Linked DNA regions of Rhinolophus ferrumequinum. The protein of the gene in region 3 purifies or fractionates together with the protein of the main gene of each other region. This does not show direct contact. Links are inferred from orthologs where the notes say so. Each region holds a gene or a part of one and is shown on either strand. Other genes may lie near its edges.

The links.
Region 1: the proteins of COPG2 (region 3) and COPE purify together in Homo sapiens (affinity purification with mass spectrometry; 5 studies listed by BioGRID and IntAct, with this or other methods). This does not show direct contact. The link is inferred for Rhinolophus ferrumequinum from reciprocal best matches to the Homo sapiens genes COPG2 and COPE.
Region 2: the proteins of COPG2 (region 3) and COPB1 purify together in Homo sapiens (affinity purification with western blotting; 4 studies listed by BioGRID and IntAct, with this or other methods). This does not show direct contact. The link is inferred for Rhinolophus ferrumequinum from reciprocal best matches to the Homo sapiens genes COPG2 and COPB1.
Region 4: the proteins of COPG2 (region 3) and COPA fractionate together in Homo sapiens (co-fractionation; 4 studies listed by BioGRID and IntAct, with this or other methods). This does not show direct contact. The link is inferred for Rhinolophus ferrumequinum from reciprocal best matches to the Homo sapiens genes COPG2 and COPA.

What each region holds. Positions count from the first base shown.
Region 1 is NC_046301.1:51,517,202-51,524,582, reverse strand, and holds the start of COPE (coatomer subunit epsilon), read left to right. Parts: upstream 1-4,324; 5' UTR 4,325-4,484; coding exon 4,485-4,610; intron 4,611-7,381. Other genes in the region: probable ATP-dependent RNA helicase DDX49, read right to left, coding at 180-255, 976-1,116, 1,267-1,454, 1,772-1,893, 1,982-2,067, 3,020-3,143, 3,996-4,110. UniProt on the Homo sapiens protein: The coatomer is a cytosolic protein complex that binds to dilysine motifs and reversibly associates with Golgi non-clathrin-coated vesicles, which further mediate biosynthetic protein transport from the ER, via the Golgi up to the trans Golgi network.
Region 2 is NC_046294.1:38,767,214-38,774,782, reverse strand, and holds the start of COPB1 (coatomer subunit beta), read right to left. Parts: upstream 3,067-7,569; 5' UTR 2,942-3,066; intron 2,657-2,941; exon of another isoform or gene 2,637-2,656; intron 2,313-2,636; exon of another isoform or gene 2,295-2,312; intron 2,207-2,294; 5' UTR 2,148-2,206; coding exon 2,057-2,147; intron 1-2,056. UniProt on the Homo sapiens protein: The coatomer is a cytosolic protein complex that binds to dilysine motifs and reversibly associates with Golgi non-clathrin-coated vesicles, which further mediate biosynthetic protein transport from the ER, via the Golgi up to the trans Golgi network.
Region 3 is NC_046309.1:16,018,906-16,026,831, reverse strand, and holds the start of COPG2 (coatomer subunit gamma-2), read right to left. Parts: upstream 3,036-7,926; 5' UTR 2,947-3,035; coding exon 2,910-2,946; intron 1,800-2,909; coding exon 1,747-1,799; intron 1,173-1,746; coding exon 1,092-1,172; intron 1-1,091. Other genes in the region: TSGA13 (testis-specific gene 13 protein), read right to left, coding at 3,376-3,545, 7,655-7,782. UniProt on the Homo sapiens protein: The coatomer is a cytosolic protein complex that binds to dilysine motifs and reversibly associates with Golgi non-clathrin-coated vesicles, which further mediate biosynthetic protein transport from the ER, via the Golgi up to the trans Golgi network.
Region 4 is NC_046305.1:28,213,185-28,220,805, forward strand, and holds the start of COPA (coatomer subunit alpha), read left to right. Parts: upstream 1-4,597; 5' UTR 4,598-4,713; coding exon 4,714-4,753; intron 4,754-6,116; coding exon 6,117-6,230; intron 6,231-6,434; coding exon 6,435-6,508; intron 6,509-7,621. Other genes in the region: NCSTN (nicastrin), read right to left, coding at 3,100-3,204, 4,400-4,487. UniProt on the Homo sapiens protein: The coatomer is a cytosolic protein complex that binds to dilysine motifs and reversibly associates with Golgi non-clathrin-coated vesicles, which further mediate biosynthetic protein transport from the ER, via the Golgi up to the trans Golgi network.

The DNA.
Region 1 (7,381 bases), on a different chromosome or scaffold from region 3:
GCCAGGATGGTCCTGCCCTCACAGGGCTCCCACAGTCCAGTAAGAGAGGACTGTGAGAAAGGCAGACCAGGACAGAGAGGGGCGGCAGGAAGAGTGCTCCAGACAGATGGAGGAGCCTGGGCAAACGCCCTGAGGCTGGGAGGAGCCTCGGCAAGTCTGGCAGGCGGAGGTCTCCTCACCTGTTTCATCATGGAATGCAGAGCCACAGTGGGGAAGTTGAACTTCCGCAGCATCATGCACAGGATCTGGCAGGTCCTGGCAGGAAGGACACACTCTCAGTCCCTCCAGCACCAGGATCCTGGAAAAGCACTCTTGCCCCCGCCCCTGCCCGGGACCCATGCAGGTGGCCCTGCACAGCTGGGAAAGAACAAGCAGAGGTGCAGGGTGTCCTGTCCACTGCCGTCCTCTCTCTGATTCCTCCCCTGGCCTAAGCAAACAAGAGTTAGCCCTACATCCAGGGCCCATCTGTGTTGGTAGCCAATACATTCTTAGGGGGCAGTGCCCATCTACATTCTTGGTGTGGCGTCCCCATCTACTGGTTCATGCTAGAACAGTCTACAGCTTCTTGAAATCTCCCTCTATGCTTCAGAGGACTGTCAAGTCCCCTGGGACCACGGGGAGGACGACCCCAGGTGGGGGTGCCACTGCACTGGGCCTCAGTGACAACCCTAGACAACAGTGGATAGGCTGTTCCAAGGGTAGTGACAGCTCAAGGCCACAAGCCCTTCAGGTTAAGGCGGGTCTGAGGAACCCGAAATCCTGGTGCCACCTTTAGGAGGGGTAACCTTGGTGAGCTGCTTGATCTCTGTGAGCATTCTTGAGCAAATCCTCCAAAACCTCTGGTCTGAGCACAGGCCCTGGAGTGCTGCATGCCTCCCACCCATGACCTCAGGCCACATCTTAGGCTTCTGTGAAGGGTTATGGGGGAGCCAACCCTCGCTCGGGGGGCAAATGGGGGGGCCCACCCTCACTCACTTGCACGTGTTAGTGAAGATGATGATGGACCAGTCCTCGTGCTCATCCTGGAAGTTCTGGATCAGGTGGACCAGGTAGGCGTCCTTGACCTTCTCAGGCACCAGCAAGTAGCGCTGGTCCAGCTGTTCTACAGTGCGTACTCTGGGGACGGGCAGGCCTGTTTCCCCTTCTGATGAATTTGGCTAATCCCCTGCCCCACCCATGGGCAATAACTTCCACTGGGTGTGACGCCCCCCCCGCCCCCCCCTCCTGCTGCCTGCCTTCCCCCACCAAAGGTGGCTGTAGACTCACGGGGCCTGAGCCTCCCAGAAGAAGGGCTGGTTGGTGGCCAGGCCCTGCAGCTCCTTGAGTGTGTCGGTAAGAGTGGCACTGAAGAGCAGTGTCTGCCTGCGGGCCGGCACGGCTGCCAGGATGGCCTCCAGATCCACTGTAAAGTCAGTGCAGCCCTGCTCCAGCAGGCGGTCAGCCTCATCCATCACCTGCAGCACCGGCAGCCGGGGGATGGGGAGGAGGGCGCTGTCCAAGGCTGGCCTGCTTCCCCCGTGGGCCTCCTTCCCAGCCTTGGCCGTGGGCCTGGGAGCACTCTCCCTCAGTGTTTTGCAGGCCCTGCTCCCTCACCTGTCTCAGCTCCAATGCCGCCTCCTCAGAGACGCCCTGCTTCCAACCACTCTCGCTAGTACAGGTCACCTCTTATGGGTCTCTGACCCTGTCTCTGTTATGTTCCTAACATGCTACTACGACGGCCTGTGGGACATATGTTCCCCAAATGGATGAATCAGTGGCCAGGGCAATTTACCAGGAAGCGGATCTTCTTGATACTGAAGGTGTTAGAGCTGCGGAGGTGGTCAGCCAGGCGCCCCGGCGTGGCGATGACCACGTGTGGTTTCCGGGACAGCTCCAGGGCCTGGGCCACCATGTCTGCAGGTAGATGGCAAGAGGTGGGGCTGGGCGGGTGGTCCGAGGCTGCGGGGACCCCACACTCAGAGCCTCCCTGGGGCCCGCGTACCCATGCCGCCAACGATGATGCAGTCCTTCAGGCCCAGAGGCTTCCCCAGGACTCGGAACTGCTCTGCGATCTGGTAGGCCAGCTCCCTGTGGGTGTGAAGGAGCCGGGCTGGGTCAGACGGGTTCCGCGCCTGCCTCACATTTCCACCTCCACCGCCGCGGCCTCCTGACTCGCCGGCTCCTGTTCATACACCCTGCACAGCTCCCGGTCCGCTTTAGACAAAATCTCTGACACTGAGCACTGGAGGGCTGTGTGGGCTCTGCTCCCTCACCAGACTGGGTCCCAGAACAGCCCACGGCCCCACCCCCACCAGTCCCACCCAAACTGGCTTCTCCTCCTCCCATGTCCTCAGCAATGGCCTTGACACCAGTTACCAAAGCCTGAACCCCGAGCATTAGTGCCCCCTTCCCTGGGGCCAGTCAGTGTCCAAGTCCCTCCTCGGCCCATGTCCCCACTTCCCAGCCTCCTGTCTTACTCTCTCCTGCTCACACTCCCTCAGAATCAATTCTAACCTGGCATTCAAGGCCCTTCTCAAGCTGGCTCTAACGTGCCCAGCCCCAGTACCCCTTCTGTTCTCTGCCACTCACACCTCTGCATATGAATGCACCAGCAGACCTCTGCCTAGATTACCTTTCCCCAAACTTGTCCCTTTAGGATGAGACGCTTCTCATCCTTTAAGCACCCATGACTGAAGCGTTCCTTGACCACACCCGTTCCCAGACCACAGCCTTATAGAATGCCATTAGAGAGGACCTACGTCAATCACCGAGTCTATCCGCCCAGGATCCGAAGATATGCCTGGTTTTTGAGCTATAAGACTATTGACAGCTCCTGTATTGCCTCTTGCCCTGAGTCAAGCCCTGTGCTCAGCATTTTCACATGCTACCTTGTTTAATTCTGTAGCACACCTAAGAGGAGGCATGATTTCTGTCCCCATTTTGCACACAGGGAAAGTGCAGCTCAGAGAGGTAAAGGCATTTGCCCAAGATAACACAGCTGGTTAACTCACCCAGGAGGCCTGTGGGGGGTGGGGCTCACCTGGTGGGTGTCAGGACAAGGCAGAAGATGCCATAGGGATCCTCAGACAGCTTCTGTAAGATGGGCAGCACAAATGCTGCCGTCTTGCCACTGCCGGTCTTGGCACAACCCAGGCAGTCCCGACCTGGGCAGAGGGCAAGCGACATCAACACAGTTTAGGTATATACGATGTTCCATTGAGCACAGTTTACAACAGCTAACATTTAATGAGCAGTTAACTGTGTGCCGGGTACTCCCATTCCGGGCATACTAACAACTTCCCATTGTGGGCAACTGATAAATTCTGGGAGAAAGAGGCCATTATCATTTCCATTTCATAGAAGGTGGAACTGAGACTCAGAGATTTGCCCAGGAACATAGTTGATGAGTAGCAGGCTGGATTAGAACCCACATCCATCTGACCCAAGATGCTACCAACCACCACTTAATGTTGACAACCCTGCCCCCAGCATGAACTTGGGGGAATCTGGGGGAATTCCCCCAGTCTGCATCTCATGCTCCCTGTGGATTCTTTCACCTTTGTTTAATCCCTCAACTTGCTACATCCTAGGCTTTGTGAGGACATCTCTGCAATGGCAAAACTGGGTTGGGCCAGATGAGTGAGAACAGAAGTCACAGGACCAGAGTCCTGGATCTACCAGTAATCTTGACAACTTCACTTTGCATTTGTAAAATGAAGACAGTAGTACAAATTACTCAACTTTACCAGTATTATCGGTTAGTCATTCACCAACACCGCCCCCCCCCCACACCCGAACTCTTGAGACTATGAGAGTTCAGAGGCTACATAACTTGGCGGGGATACACAGCGAGTCAGTTGCGCAACCTAAACGCTAAAACCGCCTAGTGTGCCTCAACCCAGGATCCCCGAAACGCCCGAGGCTGCCCCTCGCCTCGCAGGACCAGCGTGGGTTAAAGGGAAGGGAGGCGACAGGAGCGGGCACGCCTCCCGGGGAGGAGACCGGGCCACACTCACCTTCCAGGATGGCGGGGATGCAGCCGAGTTGCACGGGCGTGGGCTGCTTCAAACCTAGCTGCCGACATTGTTCCACGAGCCACGAAGACAGTCCAAGCTCCGCAAACCCAGCCATCCTCGCCGCCGGCCGCAGAACCCGTGTGAGCCGCGCTTCCGGCGCGTGCCGATGACGTCACTAAACTCTCCCGTTGATTGGACCCGCCTCCAGCGTGGTCTCACCCTCGTTAGCTTTCTCTTCCATTTCCAGCCTCGATCTTTTTCTTACCGTTTCGGTGAATCCCAGTGGCCCGCAGGATCGAATCAAACTACAATTCCCGAAATGCTCTGCAAGACGCACTTGCGTCTTCCGCCCCTTTACTCCCGTTTCGGAGACTTCCATTAGCTCATCTCCAGGCCAAGTAAACTACATTTCCCAGTGTGTCCCGCGGGGGCGCCCTGCTTCCGGCCGACGTGTCCCTCAGGAAGAGGAGTGAGTGAGACCACAGTGACATGGCGCCTCCGGCCCCGGGCCCGACCCCTGGCGGCTCAGGGGATGTGGACGAGCTGTTCGACGTGAAGAACGCCTTCTACATCGGCAGCTACCAGCAGTGCATCAACGAGGCGCAGCGGGTGAAGGTGCGGCCGCTTCGGGTTGCGGGACGCTGGGGGCGGAGGACGCTTCCTGATGGCCGCGGGTAGCGCTCTGATTTTGAAAACTCTCTTCCCCTCGCGGCGTACCCCACTCCCCCACTCATATCTTCAGAAGCAGTGAGGAGTTAATCCTTGTTCCGTGACAACACCCAAAGAAGTAGCAGTTTATACTTCTCAGAGTGCTCGCTCTGCGCGCTGGCAGGCATTTGAATAAGAGGCATTTATGCCACCACTTTGGTAATAATAATGGTAATAATTCTCACTTGTTGAGCGCCCACATTGTGCCGCTATACCTTCAATTCCCGTTAAGTAGGGACTGTTTATCCTCATTTTACAGATGAGAATACCGACGCTCAAGATAAATGGTTTCCCCGACGTTACCTTGCCCCACTAGCCGGATCGTTTCTCCCCAAACTCGCACATTCATTCATTCATTCATCTGTATGAGTCAGCGTATTGGTGCTGGGTTCAAAGCTGTGATAAAATAGACAACTCCCAGCTCTCTTGCGGGAATCTCAGCCTTGCCAGGGAGACAGACATTAAGCAAGTACATAAATGAGTAAATAAACAAGTCGGGAGGTGGTGTGATGGAGCATGGTGGGAATGAGCTTGGCTGTTTGAGAACTAGAAAATAAACACGCCAGCGAGGAGCCGGTGACTGGAGAGGGGGCAGCAGGAGCCATTAGCAGGACCTTTGAGGAAGGGACGTGGCTGTTACTGTCACTTTGAGAATGAACCATTGGAGAATTTTTAAGAGCAGTGAACATGGCAGGGTGTTTACCTGCCTTCACCGCCTAGTGTTCCAAAGAGAATAAATGAGTAAAGAAGTGAGTGAATATGTAATTACAACTTGAACTTGAGCACTGTGTGTGGGCGTGGGGAGATAAAAAGTGCTGAGTTGGAAATTGGGAGGGAGGGGTTGCTGCTTCACATGGGAGTGGTCTCATCAAGCCTCTCTGACTCATTTGAACTTGACACTGAACCTTGAGAAGCATCTAACCCCATAAGTTGCTGCAAAGGTGCTGAGACAAGTATGAGCTCAGGGTAGTCAAGGCATAAGAGGCCTGTGTAACAGAAGTGGGGAGGTGGTGAAACGGGGGACTGAGAATGAGGTGGGCAGGGCCTTGGGGGAACAGCAGGGCTTTGGAGGCCATCAGAGCACCAAGCAAGGGAGTGACATGTCTTCATAGAGGCAGCCAGAAGGTTGGGAGGAATGTAGACTCTGCAGTAAAGAAGGCTTGCTCTCCATGCTTCTGGCCTTCGGAGCATCATTGTATAATATAGACAACCTCAAACAGATTTCAGGAAGCTGTTAGGATTTGTTGAGATAACATTTGCACGATTGTATTAATTTTTCTGTTGCTGCATTAACAACTTTATCACAAGCAGGTTAAGACAACACAAATTTATTGTCTCACGGTTCCTATAGGTCAGAAGTCCAACATGGTTCTCAGCAGGCTAAAATCAAGGGGTCAGCTGGGCTGTGTCTTTTCTGGAGGTTCTGGGAAAGAATCTGCTTCCAAACTCGTTCAGATTTTGGGCTCTCCACCTTGTGCCACGCTTCGCTCCTAGAGGCTTCTCTTCAGTTCTCAACCTCGCATGTGGCCCCCTCATCTCAGAACTAGGCACGGGGTTCTCATACTTGGAGTCTCGAGTTTCCCTTCTGCCTAGTTTCTGTTTTAAGGCCTTCTGCGATTGGACTGGACCCGGCCAGATAACCAGCACATTCTCCCCATTTTAGCGTTCATAACCTTGATCACATCAGCAGAGTCCCTCTTGTGATGTAATGTGAGCTATTTACAGGTCCCAAGGACTGGCGTGGATCTCTCTGGGGAGCCTTATTTGGCCCACCACCAGAATTGTGTGTGCTTCCTTGCTGGGATAGTATAGGCTGTGAGAAAATTGAGATGGACCTGGGTTCAGATTCCGGCTTTCCTGTGTTCTCTCTGAAACCAGGTCTGAGTCATCATTGTATCTCTCTGAGTCTCAGTTTCCCCTCCATCAAATGGGAACAATGACATCTATCAGTAGGGTCACTGTGAAATTCAGCATTGCGCTCACGTTCTACCCTTTGTCTTCTGCTATGTGTCTGTTCTGCTTACATCATAATATGCAGACTACATTGCTGCTGAAAGAACCAGCATGATCTTTTGTACAAAGAGAGTGACTGAAAACCATACCAGCAGTCACTCTGTCTGGAGGCACACGCAACCGACACTCTGGCAACGTGATAAAGATGTGCTAGCACCAGACCAAGATATCCCTGAGGCATCCAGAGAATGCGAGCACTGTTCATCTGATGTGATTTAATTCTGATCCGTAGGACACCTAAACCTCTTGGGCAGTCTGTACTATCTTGAATGCTGTCCCTGAAAAGATGTCCACCCAGAACTTGTCAATGTGACTTATTTGCAAAAAGGGTCTTTGCAGATGTAATTCCGTGAAGGATCTCTAAATGAGATCAGCCTGGATTTAAGGCCCTAAATCCAATGACTGGTGTCCTTCTAAGAGAAAGACAGAGAGAGGTTTGAGGCAGACAGAGAAGATGGAGGCAGAGGTTAGAATGATACAGTCATAAACCAAGGAATGCCTGGGGCCACCAGAAGCTGGAAGAGACAAAGAAGTATCCTCCCCTGGAGCCTTTGGAGCCAGTGTGGCCCTGGTGACACCTTGATCACAGACTTTTGGCCTCCAGGACTGTGAGACAATAAAGTCCTCAGTTTGTGGTTGTTCATCACAGCCACACCAGCAAACCT
Region 2 (7,569 bases), on a different chromosome or scaffold from region 3:
AACTTCTCATGCATCTCTCCCTGCTTCAACATATTCAATTTCCTGCCACATATGAAAAAAAAATATGATGTATACTACATCAAATCAAGAAATAAACGTGAAAGGATGAACTGAGTATCAATCTGGGCAAACTTTCAGTTTTTTAAATCTGTGAGGATGACGAAAAGCATCAGGAGAGATGACAGCAGCTGAGAGCAATAACCATGAAAATAAGACAGACTAGTCAAAGTTCTATGTGGCTAAAGTTGTATTTACTGAGCCTAAACAGGTTTTCCTCTCTTTGTCCCAAAGTTGCCTTTCTGAATTAAAAAAAAAAAAAAAGAATTTTCCTACTTTATCTGATAGTGTAAAGGAGAGTCAAAAGGTATAAAATTATATCACTATAATGCTGATGGCTTCTTTTGTTCCAGTTTTGTCTACTTTTCACAAATTAGCAAATCCTAAAAGTTTAGCAGGCTAGAACATCACTTGTAACTAAAGGTTAAGTTTTAAAAGTTTACTAGCAAACTTGTAAAAAAATCTACACCATTTTTATTTCAAGCCCCTCCAAACCCAATTTCTATTTATTTCAACAATTCAAACTGAGGTGAAGGATGTTTCTATCTATATCTTCTGTTCCTTTATGACTACTACCAAAAATATGGAAAATTTCAAATATCACTTCAGTGCACCAAAATACACTAAGTACTTCCTACTCTCCGGGGAACGTATATAGTCATTAGAGCTCATTCCAACGATTAAATGTAAAGAAAAGTGTAGGTAAAGCAACTCACTATTTCACCAAACAAAAAAGTATTCGTTACTTAAACTGGAAATTACTTCTAAACAGTTTCTCATCTCAACTCTTTTGAGATAAAGTCACAAATTTTAGACTACTTATTTATTTATTGGCTGGGGGAGAGTAGTAAAGGCAGCTGCAATTAAGAAAAGGCTATTGTTATAATTAAGAACAGGTTTTGTTCTTTACCTTCCCAGCTGTAACCTTAAGTATTTTGCAGGGGTCTAAAAATGAAAACTTTTAAATTATAAGAAAAAAAATAGAAAGTCTATTCATTAATTTGCATTCCATTCTACTATCTTATGTGAATATGTATATACACAACATACGTATGAGTATATATATGTATATACATATATTTTGTATGTACATATATTTTGTACATAAGGGTATCAGTTTAAATGCCATAAAAGAGGGTTTTCTTTCTTCCTTCTCTAAAACTAGACCTCAGTAGAAACCTAATATTAAGTAATCTAAAATCAGGAGGTATTCCATTATTACTGATTAAGAGGGGGGAATATACAAGTAAGAACTGTCTCCTTTCAAACTGCAAACTATCTTCTTAAAGATACTTTCAAGATTTGAAGCATAATTTTCACTCTACTCTGTTTTAACCAGTAGTTATCAGTTTAAGTTAGTAGTTCAATTAAAAGAGAATCATTATTTTGGAACGTTCATTACTTAACATTTTTTTTGACAGAATCATTCAGAAAAAGGAGACATACACTTTTAAAATTCAGAAATATACTCCTTTTCTCCTTCGCATAATGCTTTAAAATGAAAAGCTTAACCCTGGAAAATGCATGTGTATTCCAAGGTTGATTTCATTTGTTCAACAGGTGGTGAACACAAAGAACAAAGTTCTTTTGGTTTTACAAGCTAAGTAATATGAATTAAATACACAAAGAAACTAAGATATTCAAATACACATTCTCTCAACCTGTTATGTACTCCTATAGAGAACGGTCAACTGCTTTTAAGCAGAATGTTATTAAACTACACAAACCATTATGTTATTTTTAGCAATGTCTAACAATTAAACTATCACATTTCTTTAGTTTTACTAGGCTAAACTGAGATGTTTTGTTTCCAAAAACCAATACTGCAAGTCTAAAGGTAACAAGTTTTCATTTTTAGTAAGGCAAAAGGTTTACTGAAGAGATAGATATTAGAAGAAAATATTTAGGCACAAATTAAGCATTTCTAATTATACAAGAACCTGAAATACAAATAAGCTTTTAATTTTCATTTTCTTTTTCAAATATGATCAAAGTTTACCTAGGTCATTTTTTAAGCTAATTTCAGATGGTGGTTCTGAATCCATTGGCACGTTAATTAACGTATAGCACACATTCTCAGCAGCCGTCATGGTTCCTGGTTATAATCAACCCTTGATACAAGATTAAAGGATCACAGATGCCAGGAAATCTAGGAAAATAAATACAAGGATATCATTACAAGTAAAAACCAAAAACAAAACACCAAAAACACAAGCAGTAACTTGAGTGATCCTTACTGTCTATAAAGTTGATTCAGTTTGGCTTCTAAATATTGAAGTTGCAGAAGGGGAGGGTTAACCTATATCGTGTCCCATAAAAATAAAGCCTAATGTAATAAAAAACATTTATCAGTTTTGACCTAAGGTATATTAGCTCCTACTCCACAACCCCGCCCAGGGTTTAGAATGCTGCACTGCAGAATGAAGGGCCACAATACAGTGACAGTCCCCCAGCCCCACCCCACCATATTACAGAAGTGACTTAACACCCAACCTGAACTGCTCAAGTTAAGAGACCCTGTGCACGGTTAACCTGCTAAAACCTTGAAGTGTTTTATCGTGTTCATCGGTGGGACTCGCCTCTGCGTACGTGGATCGGTGCGCTGTACCTCCACGCCCCTTTCCTGTCCCTTTTCCCCTGCAAAGCAAGTCCCAGCCTGGAACGGCGAGCCCCGGAGGCCTGGGAGGGAGAAGACCAATGGCCACTATACAGGCCGGGACCGGGCGTCCGGCCCAGAGCTTCCCAGACCCCTCGTTCCACTTCGCCAGGCCTGGACGCGAGCGGCCTAGTCTCTGCCCTTCCGCATCTTCCCGCTAGAGAGCCAGTACCTCCAACTCTGCTCAGCCCACCACGCTTTTGGGGTTGGGGGTTCGTGGCCCGCTACCTGGCTCCGAGGGGCAGCAACAGGGGCAACCGCGACACCGTCTATTCCTGCTCCAACCCCCAGCAGTAGCGGAGGCTCCGCGGAGTCCTTGGCTGACGTGGAAGGGGTGGGGAGACGACCGAGGCTGCAGCCGTCTAGCACCTACGGCAACGCAGAGAGGACATGCTTTCTCCGTTCTGCGGTTGCGCGCTGCAAGTATGTCTTGTAAGTTTCTTTCTTTTTTTTTCTCTTGTCCATGGTTGGTTTAGGCCGCAGAAAAGATTGGAAATACATATTTAATGTTTTCCCTGCAAGCTTGAATTAAGCGCTGTGGTAACTTGAATGCTATTTAGAAATTGTTTCCTATTCCAGGTATTAAAACAGTCAAGGGGAGGAAGTGCTTGGGGAGAGAGGAAACATTTTACAGTACTGTTTGATCCAATGGAAAAAGAGCACAAGATCGGGAGCTAGAAGTCCGTCCACCCACTAATAAACTGGGAAAGTAACTGAATACTACTTGAGTTAGTAACTTCGGTTTTTCTAATAAGGGACACTAGATTATATGAAGATCTATTTCAGTTCTTAACATCTGCAGTCATTTGAATCACTGCCTCTGCAGTTAGGCTGGAGTTGCTTGAACACCAAAGTCACGCTGTATGACGTGGCTTGTTTTAGTAACGGTCCCTTTCCCGATCCATTCTGAACATCCAGTAAATTTGAATTTTTTTATGCATAAAGGGAGATCGACAGTCACTGTTTTAAAGGATTTTACTATCTCCAAAAGACGTAATTTTTACAGTGACAATTCGCCATGGCACCTTCGGTTTTGCCCATTTAAGGTTCCATACCAGACTCCCCCACGAAAGGTTTCGGCCACTTATTAATAAAAGAAATTGAAGCCTTAAGAAAAATATTGTGAATACAAAGGGGTCTGACAGGACCTGCCCTTAGTAACAGGTTCACCTCGATTAGGGAGCTAGAACACAAATAGAGCATCCATCTAAAATCCAGATATTTTGAGACTTGTTTTTGGAGCCATCAGGCAAAAAAATTCCTTGATCACCCAAAATATATCACAAAGGCCATGTGTTTATAACACTTTGAGTGCTCCTCAAATCCTGTGCATTCATTTAAAACTGTTTGAGATAATTGTAGAGTGACATACAGAAATCCCATATATTTTTCACCTAGTTTCTTTCAGTGGTAACATCTTGTATAATCATAGTACAATATCAAATCCAGGAAATCGACATTGATACATTCACTTGTCACATTTTACCAGTTAACATGCACTCATGTGTGTAGTTACCGTGTTTAGATTCCAGTAATCACCACCAGTTAAGGTACAATTCCATTACAAGTATCACTCCTAACATTTTATAGTCACAGCCACTTCTCTCCATAACACCTGGCAATTACTAACCTGTTCTCTATTCTATAATTTTGTAATTTCAAGATGTAATATAAATGAATTATACAATGTAACCTTTTGAGATTGGCTTTTTCACTTAGCATAATTCCCTTGAGATCAACCCAAGCAGTCTGTACAACAGGTTGTCCCATTTTTGTGTATTCATTTTTAACATGAGATTTTTTACAACTGCAGTTATCTGGTTTCCAAGCCCACTTACCAAGAAATGACAATCTGTTGGCATGAAATGAAGCCCAAGAGAGCATAAAAACTAGACTTAGCAATAAGAAAGCTCAGCAGTTTAGGGCCATGGTGAATGGTGTAGGACTAACCGTATCCCCTTCAGTTGTCCTGAAGGCTCCATTGTGTTATGGAATAATTTGAGGCTTATCGTGACCAAGTTATTAAGTAAACTGTTAAATATGAAAAAAGGAAAGAAAATGTTTTTTAAAATCTCATTTAGGGAGATTTTAAAATTGTCAGAGGCAGTGTATATACTATTGTATATTCTTAAATACAGAGCTTGTTAAACAGGCATCAGAACTTTATGTAGTCTAATTCTTCCTTATTAAAACGTGCACTTTTGTTTTGAGACTTATTTTTACTCTAGCATGTAATTACATCATTTTGAATGCTTTTTAAATTACACATTATTTGAGAGCAAAGACTTTGTCATATACCAAGATTCATAAAAACTTACATGTCTGGGAAATCAAGGTCTAGAGAAAAGGGACTTAACCAAAACTGCAAAATAGTCAAACACTGAAAAAGCTGGGACCAGAATCTGAATCTGTCACCTACTTTACTGCCTCTTGTTTTTAAACCATACCAGTACTTCAAAGATGCACACATACTTAATAAATTCCAGGTGAATTATCTTTATATCAAAGTTGTCGCATCCCGCGCAACGAGGGTTGTGGGGAGTGAGGAGGATGGCGCAGGTTTAAGAAAAGACGGTAGCCAGTAAGAGTGTAAACAGGGCCACGGGGCTCCAGTCTCAAGAACTGGGCCCCAAATCGGGCCTACGCATTAGCTTTTATTAGTTAGGTGAGGATAAAGTTTGTCAATCTCAAGATCTGTGAATCCTACACATCATACTAGGAAACTGATTCAAGCCAATCACCCTTGCCAGCAGGCAGCGGAACCCTTAAGTCTCAGGATGTACATCCTTCCCCAAGGGACAAAACCTTTATGCATATGAATAGATGGAGAGCACATCATTGAATCTCTTCCCCTGCAGGTTGTGGGAAGGAATGCAGCCACAAAGGAAGAGGCTCTCCTTAGCTGCGGGAAGGTGGGGGGGCTGTGCCCACCTCTTATCGACCCCACAAGTCCCCACTTTACTGCGCCTGGCTTGAGTTGTTCCCCCCCACCATGGGGAATCTTACTTGTCATTGGCTGACCAGCCATCTTTCTGGGGCCAAACAGGGAGACATAAGGTGCAAACACAAAGGTGAAGCAAAGTCTCTGAAAGGATCCGTCTCACAGACTCTCCTTTCTTTAGGGGCAGGTACAAGGAGACAGATAGGCTGCTGCGTAGCAACAAAAGTGATGTTTTATGAAAGGACATTAGGAATTTTGTTTACAATTAACAGACTAAATGGAATAATTGAGTATAAACAACTAGATAAACTGACATAAAAAGGCATCACAATGAACTCTGTACAATGGGGTTGAATCTTATTGGGGTGAGGAAAATTTTAAGTTCTAAAGTCAGTGTAGAAGACTAAAATCAAATGTTGAAAAAATTACTAAATTGCTCCCAAAGTACAATATGGATCAGTTTTTTTTTTTCAGCCAAGTGCCACCCAACTTTGGTTTACATTTAGGGAACAGTGTATAAAAATTATACATGCACACACAAAATCTTTAAATAGAATCACTTAACAAAGACAAAGGCTCACACCATGATAGGCACAGGGGAAGAGACCTGCCTGAGGAAAGAGCCGATTACGAAATTTCTCTCTTATGTTGTCTCTACCAGACTATACCCCCATTGAGTCCGAAGGCAGGCGGGAGGGCTCCCTCATTCAGTTTTATTTTGTTTGTGAAAGTTACGTGTGCTTGATGCAACGTCATTGTCAGTTAAATGGCCACGTGGTACTTGTGGCCTTGTCCCAAGTTCAAATGGCAGACTCTTGAGGCTACTCCAAAGTGGAGACTAACATTTCACATATTCCTGTATTTAGTCAGGTTTTTCTCTCAACAATGTTGCCAGTTTCTCTTATCACTCTCCCCTCAAGAAGTTAGAGATTTAAACCTAGGAACCTAAGAATGCTTTTCAAGTTTTGAGCAATCTAGAAAAAAAATTAAATGAACATTTTATGAAATTTTGAGTATACAAGGTGTTTTCACATAAATTGTCCCATTTGACACTCAGAATAATTCTCTGAAGGACTTCCTTAAAATAAGGCTAAGTATAACTTGCCTAAAGACAATAGTAACTAATTAGCAGAATTAGGTCTAAAATCCAAGTTCCCGATCTACAAATGAACTGCTCCTCTCCAGAAAGATATGAATATATTCATTATATTCATAACTTTTCTAAGGCTTCTTAGCAGCAAAATTTTGGTTTATTGCTTTTGTTTTTTCAATCAGATTTCCTTTAATTTCATTTTGTATGGTCTAAGATAAAAATTGTTCTGCAGTATCTCGGTACACAGCTCACAGGAATAATGGCAGGCAGCTTCAAGATTATGCTGGAGTTTGGTTGAGCAGGATAAGAGGAAATGATGGTTTCAGATTAAAATTTCCCTTTTGTTGTTTCTGCAAAAGTTCCCTACACTGAGAGCAGAGCTATCATTGCTGACATCTGCTGGTCGGAAAGAAAAACAATTTACATGTTAATAATCTTGCTACTACTATTGCTTGAAGTGGTGGTTTCTTAGGTTTTATCAGAATCTCCAAAGCTGAACCCTGAAATTTGTATTCTGAACCAAATCTCCATGAATTCTCATGCAGACAGTCCATACACTGGGGAGCTAGTATAAGGCTATGATAGATAAAGAGTTATTATTTTTCCCCATCACTAAAAATAAGGCAATTTGACAAACATGGCAAATGACCAGTTGTAATCCCAGACTATTTATATAGTTGAGGCTACTTAAAAAAACAACAACAAAAACTCAATACTCCAGCAGGTGAAACAATTTTATTTCACAGTTGTCTTTAAAACCACGAAGACACTATATTCTTTATATAAAAACATTAGTACAGATAACTATACTTTCTAGAAAAT
Region 3 (7,926 bases):
AAATGTTTCTAATATGCTACCACAGAGGGATACGATGTTTGTGAATAGATACATTTTATTTAAAAGTACATACTTGTTGCTCAATCACCATTTGCAAACTACACAACTTTATTTTGTCTCTGAATGAGGTCTTCAGTCAAGAAACATAGTAAAGATAAAATATTCTCATGGAATTCAAATGGGAAACATTGTCTTCTTAGCACCATATGTAAACTCTGTGTGTGTGTGTGTGTGTGTGTGTGTCTAAGAAACAAAATCACATTTTCTAAGGCCCTAGACATTCATGAGATGTTTAAGTCTGAACAAAAAAAAAAAACAAACAAGAAAAAATAAAATTAATAACCATGGCAAATAGAATCTGTTTCATTAGAATAAATATTTTTGTTGATTTTGTCTGTTATATCCCCAGTGTCTAAAACAGTGCATAGGACACAGGAAGCATGTAATAAATACTTGCTGAATACAGAATGAAAACTATTCCTGAATGTTTACTATGTATCCAGGACTATACTCAATGCTTAATGTTTATTACCTCATTTAATCATTACAACTTTATAAAGCATCTTTTATCATAATCCCCATTTATAGAAAAGGACATTAAGGCACTAAATGGTTAAACCCAGAATCATACTGCTACTAGTAATGGTGGAGTAGGGATAATAGATATAAAATCTGAATATTAAAAGCAAAGTTATAAAACATATACCCCCTCCACCCCCCAAAAAGGGTAAAATATCTATCTAGAATTTATCTAAGGTTTTGCACTATCTTTTTGGAGGGACATAAAGACCTCTGAACAAACTCTAAATAATGTGTTTTAACATTAACTAATATTTGTGAAATTCAAATCATGTTGAGACTCTACTATGTGCTTAGTGGTTTAGTACCTCATGCATAAAAAAGAAGTATATGCCACAGTCCTTATCCTCAAGAAGTTTTATATGGTAATATTATGTCAATCAAACACTATAGATTTTTTAATTAAGTGATGTTTTGAAAATCAAATAATTATACTCTCCAAAAAATGCTTTACTGCATAGTATGTATTTTTATTCCAAGACACAAATCTCAAGAAAATCAAAATAATTTACCTGGTTCAGTAAATAGAGAATCTTTGTAAGAATATGTAAACATCTTCTCGGATTGATGGGCGTTTCATTGAACAGACGAGCCTATGGAAACAAAAACCATTGTTATGTATAGTATATTTTCTACTTTTTCTATCACAGTTTACAGAAAATCAACTTTAATAAAGACCATTATGTATTTTAATCACTATCTCCAAACAATGTTAGCTGCCTATAGTTTTCAATTTATTATGGTATATGATAATTAAATGTAGCCTGATTTCCCATTCTATACTCTCTAACTCATTCCTTTAGGTCTACTACTTCAACTTTGTAGGCTTTATATGTTAAGTGAGAATCACAATATTTATCTACATCATTTTAATACAATGAGTTTAGTGTCTGTAACCTTCTTCAATAACCATACACTAAACACCTCTTCTGGCATTTTATCTATACTTCTCAACATGTGGCAGAGTCTGCATGTTTTTGCATTTCTATAAACTCTAGACTGTCTCTCCTCTGACAAGCAACCCCTCTTGCTTTTCCCTCAAGTCTGTATTCTCTGAACTCAGTTACACTCCTTATTTTGGATCTCAGCATTCCAGAGGCTCTGTCTGTGCCCACCATTCTAAAATGGAATAGAAAAGAAGGAACACAATACACTTCTAAGCCATACCTCCTGTAACACAGCACTCTTCTCCAGATGCCGAAAAGGATTGGAACCACTACCTATAAAACAAACAAAAAAATCTTTAATAACTGTAATCCTACACAAACTTATTTTCTACAGAAGGGTAGCGAATGCTCGCGATATCGCACCTGAGGTGAGCATTGGGATGTTACAGTGATAATCATTACTCATATGCACATAAATTGAATACAATCATTTTGATTCTGGTACTGGTTCTGTCATTGCTTTCCTGTAAGATCTTGTACTTTTGCAGGAACCCTGCCCCAAATGAGTGTCTTCTTCTGTCCTCTTTTTATATGAATGTTACAGATATCAGTCATGTCCACACAACTAAGATTAATGAGATTGTCGTAGGGCCCTTTCGATTTCCCTAAAGGCACGCGTGATTTTGTGTTTCCAACATTTACTGCGAGGCAGGAAAGAGTTTAGCAGAGACTCATATAAACTTAAAGTTGGAAGGGGCCATGAAGGTTTTACTAACCCAACCCTCTACCACACTTGGTGACAGCATCTATCAGACACTGAGTTTGTTTCTGAAGTGGCTTGGCATCGCCCCCATTTGCTCTGTACCACAGTTATCAAGACGCAACTCACTTCTGGATGCCTGCGCATTAAATGATCTGTGTACCATGGGACACTTCTGCCCCCGGGGAAGCAGACAGTGTAAAGGTCCCCAGGACGACTGTAAGGTGCAAGGCACCTCAAAGTACATATACACACAGGATGTCCCGTGGATCTCAGACCCACTCTGGGCCTACCACCACCAGCATCCCTCGCCTCTTACACGCGCACACCCATTCTGGCCGCCAACAGCCATGGGCCCGCCGCCTCTGCAAGCAGCCCACCCCGAGCGGAGGCGGCTTGGAGGGGCTGCGCCAAAGGTGGGGGAGGCGGAGGGGGAGGGGGAGGGGGCGGGGCCGCCGAGCAGCCCGAAGCGGCGCGTGGGCGTCGGGACTGGAGCGCGCGACCCGAGGGGAGGCTCCGGCGCCCGGGGGAGGGGCTAGGGGCAGGCCCCCGGCTGGAACCGGCCCCCAGGCACACGGGCGCCCACGCCCCCCGGTCCGCTGGCCCCGAGAGCAGGTGGCGGCGGGCGAGCGGGGGAAGGGACCCCCGCGGCGGAGGGTGGGCGTCAGACTCCCAGCGCGTACCAGACTCCTCGTCCTTCTTGTCGAATTTTTTAATCATCTTGGACGACTTCCCAGCGCCCAGACCCACCGCAACCGTCCCAGGCGCCGCAGCCGGCAAGCGGAAGAGGCTGCAGGAAGACCGGCCCCGTGCTCTGGCGCCGGTTGGGCCTCCGTCCCGTCACTCGGGGAGAAGGCCCGCCCTCCCCGGCTGTCGCGGCCGCTCAGGTCCCCAGGGGACGTGGCCACGCCCTCTCGTCCTGCCCCAGCCGGCGGAGGCGGGTCCAGGCGCTGGGTCCCTGGGCCCGCGTTGCAGCCCCGAGGGCGACAGGTCGGGACCCGGGGCTCGCCCCTGCCCACCCAGCCAGCGACCTGGCAGCCCAGGCCCGGAGCGGGCAGAACGCGATTTTATTTGGTTGACACGCCCTGGATGGCGACTTCTGCAGGCCTCTCAGTCTCTCGAGACCAAGGCGAGAGGCCCAAAGATGTTTTACTTAATGACAGTGGCATTCTGTATAATCCACTGCTGGGCCCTTCCATTGCGGAAGGCGCGCTCCCCTGGCGCGGTTCTGGTGGGCTTCTCTTTGAGGAGCGAGGAGAGGGTTAGTGGTTCCCAATATGTCTTGGAAGTCAGCGTGTCACTTTCTGATTTCTTGGAAACTGCAACAAAGCACAGGGCACCTCGGTGATTGTGGATTTCCAGAGGGTCCAGAAGGACTCTTAATGTGGGGCATGAAAATGACCCACTTAGAGGGAGGAGAGAGCTGGTCTTTACTCTTAGCACGGGGATAGATTTTGGACTACTGTTCCCAACCTTCTTTGTAGTTCTGGAGTCCTTCCCTTCATCAAAACCCAGCTTAAAACATTGCTGGTTTAGAATGTTCCTTGTTTAATCCCACCCCTTTCAAAGGACTCCATCTGCAACCATATTGACTCTACGTGTTTCCCTGAAAATAAGACCTAACCGGAAAATAAGCCCTAGCATGATTTTTCAGGAGGACATCACCTGAACATAAGCCCTAATGCATCTTTTGGAGCAAACATTAATATAAGACCCGGTCTTATTTTTGTGAAAACACAGTAACCATAACTCACTAAGTTAAGGTGTGTTGTTGGCGTCTATTATATATTCACATCCCTCTTAGCCTTTTCCTAAAGTGTCTGTTGGTTTTCAGTCTCCCGCCTGAGGGTGTAACTAAGAAACTACTTTTGGCTTCAGTATCATCACTTTGTCCAGATTCTCTTCCAAGACAGGAAGCTGCATGTTCTTGGAATCTACCATTGCGGGCTCCTCTTGCTTCCATCCCTCCCACTTTTTTGATGTATTACGCCTTGTAAATATCCCTTGAATCCGTTTCCTTATTCCTACTGCTAACACCTTAATTCACGTCCTATCATTGGTCTCTTGGACAGCCTCCTAATCCAGGGCCCCCATCCAAACCGTTTTCTATGTAATCTTTCTTTATTTGGATGCCTGATAAACATGAAACATTATTATGGGAAGGAGCGTTGCTAGCCACAGAGCTTTTGCTTGAAGCTTTTCTCTTTTGCTTGAAGAGGAGATACTATTTTAAATCCACAGTAGATTGTCCTTGTTTAGGAAAAGCACTTAATGGGCCTCTAAGATATATAACTAAAGTCGGTATCTGCTCATTTTCCTTGAGGGAAACTGTAAAGTCACCATAAATCTATAAATGCTGCAGACTGAGATATTAAACATTCTGTTTAGAAAAGTAAATTGTGTATATCCTTAATAGAATCATGCCCTTGAAAAATTAGAGAAATTCTGATCTAGATTACATTCTAGAGTCTAGTGAAATTTTTCCCCCAATATAGATTTAAGCTGAACTATTAATATCCTGCATATGGTAGCATTTAAGATTCAACTCCAACTTTACTAAATGTACTATTAACCATGAGGTGTGATCAAACAATACAATGAATGTTTAAATAAGAAAAAATATTACAGTGAAAGGCACATTGCCATTAATCCCCCTCAAAATACTCCCCCTTACTTGAAACACACTATCCCATCGTTCTTGCCACTTTCTGAAACAGCTCTGAAAGTCCTCTTTTGTGAGTGTCTTTAAGTTGCGCTGTCGTGGCTGCCTTGATGTCCTGAATCATTTTGACTTTGAGAAAGAGCCAGAAGTTGCACAGTACCAGATCCAGTGAAGAAGGTGGACGATGACACACCGTAATATTTTTATTTAACAGAAATTGCCGTATATCAGAAGCGATGTGTGACACGGAGCTCTGTCATGATGGAGGATGATTTATGCCACATTTTAAAACACACACTCTCTCAACTGTAGCTCACACCCAACTGACTATACCGAACAAGTTGAAACGTCACACACTGTTTCTAAGGGTCCTCGCACTACTTACTGTATTGAAGAGTCCTGCCTTTTCATTGGATGGCACTCGGCAGCATCATTCCTGTATTTTGTGATCGCAGCGGAAAGGTTCCATGTCACACATCACTTCTAGTACAGCAATTTCTGTCAAATAACAACATTGTGGTGTATCCTCATCCACCTTATTCACCAGATCTGGCACTATGCAATTTCCAGCTCTCCTCCAAAGCCAAAATGGCCATGAAAGGTAAACGTTTTGAATTGATTGAGGACATTGAGGCAGCCACGACAGTGCAACCTAAGACACTCACGAAAGAGGACTTCCAGAACTGCTTCAGTAAGTGGCAAGAATGATAAGTTTGTTTGAAGCGAGGGGGAGTATTTTGAGGGAGGTTAATGACAATGTGTCTTTTACAGTAATAAAAATGTCTTTATTTAAACATTCATTGTATTATTTGATCACACCTTGTTTTACATTTGCCTTATCTGACTTATAAAGCTCACACCTTACTTTCCAGGTAGAGTTTTCCATAAAGGAAATACAGATGCTCCTCTACTTACAGTGGGGTTACATCCCAATAAACCCGTTGTAAGTTGAAAATATTATAAGTTGAAAATGCATTTAATAACCTAACCTACCAATCAATCATCACAGCTTAGCTAGTTTCCACTGAATGCGTATCACTTTCACAACCATTGTAAAGTCAAAAAATTATGTCAAACCTCGGGTTTCCAGATGGGAATTCCCGTCCATTCTCAGGAATTTTTTTCACTTTCCTGTTCCCAAATCCCAAGAAAGGTTGGTCAGGAAATCAGGAAAATCAGCTCCTCAAACCTAGGTGGTTGGTAGTATCGGCTGTCACTTTGTGGAAACGATTCATTGTGGAGAAGAGAAAACAACTTATATCTCAGGATTCGGGAATGGGAAAGCGAGAAAGTTCCTGAGAACCAGCAGGAATTCCCGCCTGGAAACCCTAGTCAAACCACCTTAAGTTGGATACTGTCTGTAGATGTTCCTACTTATTTATTCTGGGGCTGAAAATAAACAGGTTTGGGGGAAGGAGCGATTCTCTTCCCTTTCCTTGGGCCAATGGTATTGGGAACCCAGGCAGAAACAGTGTAGATAAGCCAGAAGATTCCCAAGAATGATTAATGTACTGAGAAGTATGAAGGAACTGAGGCAGGTTTGAGCCTGAGCCTAAAAGTAGCCCTTTTAAAATAAGGTCTTTAACTTCTTTCCACATCTATGAAGTGTTGTTTAATATCACAGCTTGGTTTGAGCTATACATGGGGAGTTAAGAGAGGCAATAGTTGGCTACGGAGTGGGGAAGCAAATAGAAGAGGAGCAGAGAAGCCTGAAGAAGCCAGTTAAGGGATGGCACAATATGACCACACACCTCTGGAACCATGACTAGACTCAGGATGGCTGGCAAAGGTATTAGGCAATCACTAGCATGTGGAACAGGTAAGCGTACTTCAGGGAGATTCAGAAATTGCATGAAGAGAGAAGCCCCGTAGGAGAAAGGGGTATCATCTTGAAGCTATAAGCTAGTGAAGTCTAGGGACCCATACTTATACTTCTAATACTGAGTGCTCTGTCTACTGAGTGCTCTGAAATCCTTCAGTGGGTCGCAACTGCCTAGTGGAGAAAACCCGAGCCCTTATTCATATAATGTGCAAGGAGCTTGTGAGCCAGCTGTCTCACACGTTGAATGTACTATTACTCGTGCTTGATAAGTATCCAACACTTAGTAGTGGCCCATAAATGTTCTTAAATGAATGATAATTTGTAAGGAGAATTCCTGTTGTGTCCTCTTCCATACAAACTTATCCCAAATCCCTTCCACTCCACGTCCTGCCTCAGCCCCAGAGAGACTTGTGTACCTCTGAGACTCCTCTGACCCTTCTAGAACAGTTTTCCTCAAAGTATGATATGCATACCACTAATAGTTTTAGGCACTACATAGATACACATTTTAAATTTTAATTATTATGAATTTGATTAAATATGTGTCATTAAAAAAAAACCATGTAATTCGTATATCAAACCCATGGTAATAATATTAATTAGGACAAGAAAAATATCCTTTTAAAGAAAACCATTAAGTAAATAATAGGGCAAGTAGCACAGCGATATGGCCAAACCTATTAAAGTGGTAGATGATATAGTTTGGAAACACTATGCTACAGCTTTTTTGAATTTGAGGATTTAAATAGGGATTTAAAAAGGATTTAAAAAGCTTAGCAACCCTTGAGCCTCTATCAGTTCTTAGCTTCCATGCTACAAGGAAAAATTGTCTCCAGAACCTCCACGAGAGATGTCAATTTGCCCTTATCTCCTGTCCCCATAGGTTGTTCCTCCTGTCCATATCTCAGTCCTGTAAGCCATTGCTTTGAAAGAGAGGAGCTTACCATCTTTCCTCATATGTCTTTTACTAACTGGAGCAAAGGTGAGCTGAGGGTACATCTTTTTCTGTTGCCTCAAAGTGCAGACCATTGAATACTTCCCTTCACTCTTGAAATCATTGTTGGTGGAAAACCTTAACAAAGAAAGCTCATTTAGTAGATCCAAGGGTAGAGGGTTAATAGAAGTACATGCTCAGATTCTAGGGGAGAAGAAAAGAAAATGCAGTGGGTGTTCATTGGTACACAGTGGGAGTACTGTGCAGCGGAAGGGATGCTTC
Region 4 (7,621 bases), on a different chromosome or scaffold from region 3:
AAGAGAAGACAAAAGAGCCAAGAAGTCTACTCATGAGGTCTTGTTCATTAAAGATTAGAAAGGCTGTGTGATCTTCACTTTCCTGCCCTCTTCCCTCAACCTCATAAGTCATATATGCAAGATTCTATGACAGCAGACACCAAAGGGTTCAAACCTGTATTTTCTCCAAGAAATGGCAGGCTCTAAATATCTAGCTTGTTCTAGCACTGAATCTTCCTTTGTGAAAACATATGTGCAGACTCCGTTGGCCTCAGTAGCCTCCCTGGATCTCTATTCCTTTGCCCTATTTGGGAATAACTTTACTTGCTTTTGGCCAGTTTTAGGTAAAGTTCATCAAGAACACTAAGGTCTCTAGAACAGAGCTTCCCAATTGATGGGCCTTGAATCATTTAGAGATGTGCTGATATTGATTCCCTTCATTTCTGGGGACCCTAGGCTGGAGCAGACTCACCTATTACCCCAGGAGGCTCTACAAATATCATCGATTTCTATATGTGCCAGAATGCCATACAAATAACATTTTCTATGTATCTCATCACATTACAAAGATTGGGAAGCACTGCATTAGAGGATAGATGACCCTGAGTTCTATGTAGCAATGCAGCTCAAGTCCCTAGTGATCCATGTAGAGACATCTTAGGGTCTCCCCGCAAGTCTTCTTCCCACTCAAAACTGGATGTGTTATTCATAAATTGTTTTAGAGCAGTTCTCAACTCTGGCTGTATATCAGAATCACTTTGGAGTTTTTAAAAATACAGATACTTGGGCTTTACCTTAGATCTACTAAATTAAAATCTCTAAAGGTGAGGCCCAGGCATGTGTATTTGCAAAACACGCCACTTGTGGTTCTTTATTATACACAGCCAGGCATGCAAATTATGGCTCTAGACCAAGGCACTGAAATACCTGTAACTTCCATGAGACAAAAACTATAAGCACTTTCAGACTGCCAGCCAGGTAGTCTTTTGCTCCCATGGGATCTGGTAAAATCTAGATATGAAAGCAGGTCCACAACATTCAACTATGTCTTACACATAGCAAATACTTAAGTTCATGTTGATAGTGACGATAATAAAATACAGAGGAATATCAGAATCTGGAATAACTTTAGTAAAGATCTACCTGGGAGCATTTGAGATCTTGCTCCCTCGCATATGTCATCAGTTTGGTTCAAATAAAGTCTCATTAAAAAAAAAAAAAAGACCTACCTATCAATGGCAGTTCTAAGTAAAATAAAAGACAGCAGTCTTTGCCATAGTATTTAAAACATGGGAAAAGGAAAAGCTAGTCTGGCAAATAAAAAATATGTAACTTCAGCTCCAAGGAGGACAAGAAGAAGACAAGTTATGACACTGAAAAAAACCTGGATTCTAATCTGGGTTCCAGTGGGTGACTGTGTTGTCTTAAGTAATTTGCTTACTTTATATAAACCTTCAATGAGGAGAAGATTTTCCACCCCTATCTATCTTATACTGTAGGGACAAATTCAAAAAGGAAAGAAAGGAATGAAAAGAAACCTACATATATAAACTCTTCGAGCACTTTAATAGGGTCTAACAGAAACAGGGCATTCTAATCAGAAAATCAAACCTGGGTCTTTCTCCTTCATTTTTATCATGGTAGCAACTCTAGTTAAAGAGAGCGTAGCCTGCTCAGGACAGACATACATGATGAAGTAAGACTTAGAAATGAGTAGGTTGAAAAGGAAACAAGATCTTAATGAGGAAGTGGCCAGAGTCCAGCCCCTCCCCACTTGTTTCTCTGTATTGGCACTTGGCTGTATCTCTAGAAGCTACTGCTTTGCTTCCAACAGGGCTGCTCTAAGAACATGCAGCAGAATGACTCATTCCCAAAGGGGTATCTTGGAGGCTAGCTCCAGGAGGACGGGGTCCTAGCCCTTGCACTAAAGTGGGGTTCTAGCAAGATCAGCAGTCTGACTCAGCCCACAGTTTAAGAACTAAGTCCAGTTTAAGAACTAAGTACAACAGAAATGTTATTTGGAACTGCTTAAACCAATTATCCTACTCCCAGTACTTCCTGTAGCAAACATATGGGACAACATAAGAGGAAGGATAGGTACAAAAGTAGTAACTGCCACCTTGAGCAAGTCCGTCACTTCTGTGTCCCCGTTTTCTCCTATAAAATTAGGTTTCAGGAAAGTCACAGAGTACTGCTGAGACCACATTATTTACTCAGCATCATCAATATACATTTATTAAAGGTTGTCTGACTTTCAGCTTTGTGTAGGTATATTGTCTTTATACGAGTAAACTGAAATTCAGAGGTGACCAATTTGATGAAGGAGCCAAGATCTGATTCTGTTTCCTGCTTACCTGCAAAACTACATTCAGACAGAGCTACTATCCACAGAAGAACAAAATTTGAAGATAGCAGGTTAAGCAGAAGAGGAACTGGGATTCAGACTTCAGATCACAACTTTTTTCCCCTTTCATAGTTTTATAGGCATGTTGTCATGGTACCCTGTTTTGGAACACATTTACAAAGCATAAAGACAAATCCAAATGCTTTACAAATTCCTCTTGCAACTATTTGGCTTTATCAATGCCTTCTCTTCAAATAGTTCACTGCCTTCAAGAAGCCCATTTTGGTTGCAAAAAGATCATTTAGAGTTCAGGTAATGACTGAATTCCATAGAATATGAGACTTTTTTCTCCTAAGAAAACAGTATAGTTTTCCACTTGACCCACTAGGTGGTTAAGAGTCCTGGCTTGGAATCTGGACCACCAGGGCTCAAACCCTAGCTTCATCCTTAATAGCAGGATGATCCTGGAAAAGTTACTGAACTTCTTTAAGTCCCACTCAGTTTCATCATTTGTAAAATGAGATAATAGAGCCTACTCCATGGGGTTGTTGTGAAGATTAAATGAGATGCACATGTAAGAAGCTTAGTATGCAGCATTTGCTAAATGTTAGCTTTTAATAACTATCTTGCCTGGTTTGACAAATGGTTCTCTACCAGCTCCCACCCACATAGCCTAATCTGTATGCTGAGACTCCCAAGCAGGACTTGGATATTTATATCGAGGGCAAAGACTGAACCATCAATGGCCACAGGCAAAAATCCCAACCTCAACTCACAATGGCAGCCAATCTGATGGGTGGCATTGAGCAGACGGACACAGGGAGCTGTTTTATTTAAGGGAATGTAGATCTTCCTCTCCACTGAGTTTCCCCCGCACAAACCTGATCAGAAGATAAAAAGTGTTAGTAAAAACTAGGATAGTACTAGCCTCCATCTTGTCTTTAGCTCACTGGATGGCTTGGGCATATCATACTTTCTAAAATGGGACTAATGTCCATTCTTCTCACTTCTTGGGCACATTACTGGAACACCTAAATGCAACCACCTATGTGCCTCAGAGGGTTATTACAAATTCTACATAGAGCAACTGACAGTGAAGCTAAAAGAAAAAACTTCTTTTGTCAGAGGAAAGGCATTTAACCTCAGATGTACCAGCTTCTGGTTGCATCGGTGACCACACTTCCACTTTTCTATCTGTATGTGTATTACAAATTAGTTAATAAAAGGGTTCCAATCTAAGATTATAAATTACAATTTAAAAAATCTTTCTGAGACTTTTTTCCAGGAGTCTGAACAGAATTGGGAGAAAATCTTTGCCACACCTGTCAGTTAATCTAACATCAGTACATCACTTGTGTGTGCCCAGTGTGGGGCGGCTATAGTTTCTCCTTTGGGGATCTTTAAAAACTATGTGAACTTGGGGAAGGTATGGTCACCGTTATATACAGGCATGTTTGAATTTTAGGGCTTGACAAACTAGAAAGCCATATACCAGAAAATAAATGCGTATAAGCAAACACTTATATACATTATAAATGCTTAAAGTTCCTTGAATCATTATTTCATGGTCTAGACAGTTAAGAGTACCCCATATCCTGATAACACAAACTGAGGAAAAGTACGGAGAATAAAGTACGCGGAATCAACAGCAGAGAAAATGAGGAATCTACTGTTCTAATAAGCGCTGCACTGCACCCACAGAACGAGGCTGCTTTCATCTTGAAATGTCTAACCGCTTTGGGAAGGAAGCTGAACGATGACATCTGTCCTTTTTGATTGTGGGTGGGGTGGCTGGGGCCCTGGGGAAAAGAAGGCATCCGGATAAAGTGGGATAGAGTCGGGCTGGAAGTCCTGGAGAAGACCTGGAGGAAGAAATGGGGCGACCCGACGTGCCGCGGGGGAGAGACCTTCGGGTCCAAGTAAAAGGGAAACTTCTGTCGTGGGAACGAATGAGAAAGAGATTTACAGGGTTGGGGGACAGAAGGGCAGAAGGAACCAGGAGATAGACGGTGGCGCTCGCGGCTGGGCCGATCCGAAGGGTTCTCCTTACAGACTCACGGACGAGGGAGGCCTCACCTGCCAGGAGGACGCAGAAAGACAAAAGGCAAAGAAGATCCCGACATCCCAGGTAAGCCACAGAGGCACCACCCCCGGCCGTGGCCATTTTGTCTCTCTGCGGAGCGGAAGTCTTTGTGCCCCTCCTGTCCGTTCGTGGCCTCTCTAGGCCCACACCGGCGCCGTCTCTGTGGCCCGGAGCTCCAGGGACCGGAAGTTCGTGTCTGGAGGAACTTCCGGGAGCTGCTGCTGAGGGCCGCTGACGTGGAGACAAACGAAGGGCTTCAGGGAGTGGCGGGGCTTGGATTAGGAGCTCGGAGCTGCAGGCCTGAAGGATGCTAACCAAATTCGAGACCAAGAGCGCACGGGTCAAAGGTAGTAGAGGAGCATAGGGGCTGGATGTCAGGGGCGGCGCTGTCACCGGGGAAGAGAGAAGGTAGACCGGTGGGCCGAATTGGGCCCTCGGAACGAACCCTGAGGAAGATGGACCGGAGGGAAGTTAGACCTGCGGGCGGTTCTCCAGCCCGCCACACCTCAGGAGGGTCCTAAGGCCCGTTTTCAATTCTTTCCCTTCTCCTCATCTGGGGCCTGTGTTCCTGACTTTTATTCCTCTGCTCCCAACGCCCTGTGACCTGTTGGCTTTTTGATGACGTATTCTAGGGAGTGTCCCTGGGGATTGAGTCTCGACCTCTGCCATTTGTATCCAAGTCAGTAGCTTTTTTGGAGATGAGCACTGGCTACCTCACTTAAGGAGGCTGCACCAGGTCAACATCCAATGCCTCCATTGGGCTTTATTTCCTACTTGGAAACAGGACATTTAGGCCTGTAACCCCAGTAAAGTCTGAACTTGATAAGGTTGCCAGGATGCCCGGTTAAATTTGAATTTCAGATTAACAGTAATTTTTGGTATTGTTCATGGTTTATCTAAAATTCAAAGGTAACTGGGCATATTTATTTCCTAAGTATGGCAATTCTAGAGCTTTAGTATCAGTGGTTGGGGGTGGAGGGCAAATGACTGAAATCACAGCAGTAATCTCTTAGAATGTTACAGTGGGAAAGGCAGAGAAATAAGGTCTTCTGAGATTTGGAAAAAGTATATATCTTGAATATTTAGTAAGATGCAGCTTGCAAAGTGGTTAGGAACTTAGCGTTTGGAATCAGATGGGCTTGCTTTGGAATGCTGAAATATCCATTAGCTAGGTGTATGACTTAACAGTTCTAAATCTGTTTAATGTGTAAAATGTGAATAATTAACATTCTCTAATAAAGATAATTAAAATGGGAAAGTATATGAAAAGTGCTTGTTACAGTGCCTGACATAGACTCATTAGCTTAAAAATCTGTTCTTGCTAGCGAGGATGGAAAGACCTCCTACAACTACAAGGCATATAGAGACTTCAAAAGGGTATTGCATTAATAGTGGTGCCAAATTAGACCTACACTAAAGACTGCTGTGGACCCACCCTAAAAAAACTTAAAACGCAAGTGTCAAAAGAATCAACTGATTCCAAGTAATTTAACTGCACCCTAAGACAAATTCCAACAATATTTAAAAGAAGATAGCAAATATTTTTTTAAAATCCAGCACCTTATAAAATTCACAATGCCCAGCATCCAGTGAATGAATGAATGAACCTAGGATTAACTTAGCTGTTCCTTTTTCTTATCAGAATTGACAGGAGGTGACTTTGTGAGGCTTACTTAATTTATTGGATCACTCTCTGCTTTTTTCCCCCAGGGCTCAGTTTTCACCCCAAAAGACCCTGGATCCTGACCAGTTTACACAATGGAGTCATCCAGTTATGGGACTATCGGATGTGTACCCTCATTGACAAGTTTGATGAGCATGATGGTAAGATAATAGTTTCTAGGAGGAAATTAAAAAAAGATACAAGTATTTATTGTCCTCTAGAATACTTTAAGCCTTGTTTGACATTAATTCTTTTAGGATTAAACAATGTGGAGGGGATAGAACTGGAAGATCCTGAATAAGAATCACCTTAGAGATTAGGAAGCATAGCTCTCTTTAACATATATTGCCTGCCTTTTTCCCCAGGTCCAGTACGAGGCATTGACTTCCATAAGCAGCAGCCACTGTTTGTCTCTGGAGGAGACGACTATAAGATTAAGGTACAGCGGGTCTGTCATTACTAGGAGTAAAGAACAGAGAACATGGAGTTTGGGAATTGTGGAAGGGTCTAAAAAACAGTACTTCTTACTCATACAGAGCTCAGGCTTTTCACAATGTTATCCAGAACACTTATCCAGCAACATTTACTGAATGTTTACTGTGTATCAGACACTGTTTTATTTTTTGGGAATTCAAAAATAAATAAAAAATGGCCTCTGTTCTCCAGGAGCTTTCATTCTAATAGAAGAGATAACTGTATATCCAAATAATAGGTGTGTACAGTTTAGTGAGTGATACAATAGAGAGATAACCAAAGTGAAATAGGGAAGGGCATTCCAGGTAGAGAGACCAAAAAGCATGACATAGCTGGATAAGAAACTATAATTAGTTTTGTGTAAGATGAGAGAAAGGGCCAGATCATGGAGTTTGCAGTGTTCAGGAGATTGGATCTGTACAAATAACGAGGAACCATTAAAGGGTTTTAAAAAGAGGAGTGATATCAGACTGACATTTTTTTTATAACGATTACTTGTGTGGTAGTATAGAGAAAAGATTGGATGAATTGGGCAAGACTGGAGGCGGAGATACCAGTTAGGAGACTGTTGTATAAGTTCATATGAGAGAGGAACAGCGCCTGAGCTTAGGCAGTAGCATTTGAAATGGAGAGAAAGATGGATATGAGTGCTTAAGGAAATGAATCAGTAAGTTTGTTGCATGGATGTTAGAGGAATTGTAAGGGAAAATAAGTGAGATTATTTATCTCAGGCTTCTAACTTAGGTCACTAGGTGGAAAGGGTACCATTAACTAGGAAAGGAAAAACAAGTACAATTTTTTGGAGTGGAAGAAGATGGTGTCTCAGTCTGTTCGGGCTACTATAACAAAATACCACATACTGGGTGGCCGATAAACAACAGAATTTTTTTTTTTTTTTTTTTTTTTTAAAGGAGGGCACAGCTTACAGAGGCCCATGCAGGGATCAAACCGGCTATCTTGGTGTTACTAGCACCACGCGCTAACCACCTGAGCTAATCAGTCACCCCCCAGAAATTTCTTTCTCACAGTTCTGGAGGCTACAGGTCCAAGATCAGGGTGCCAGCATGGTCCGGGTCTG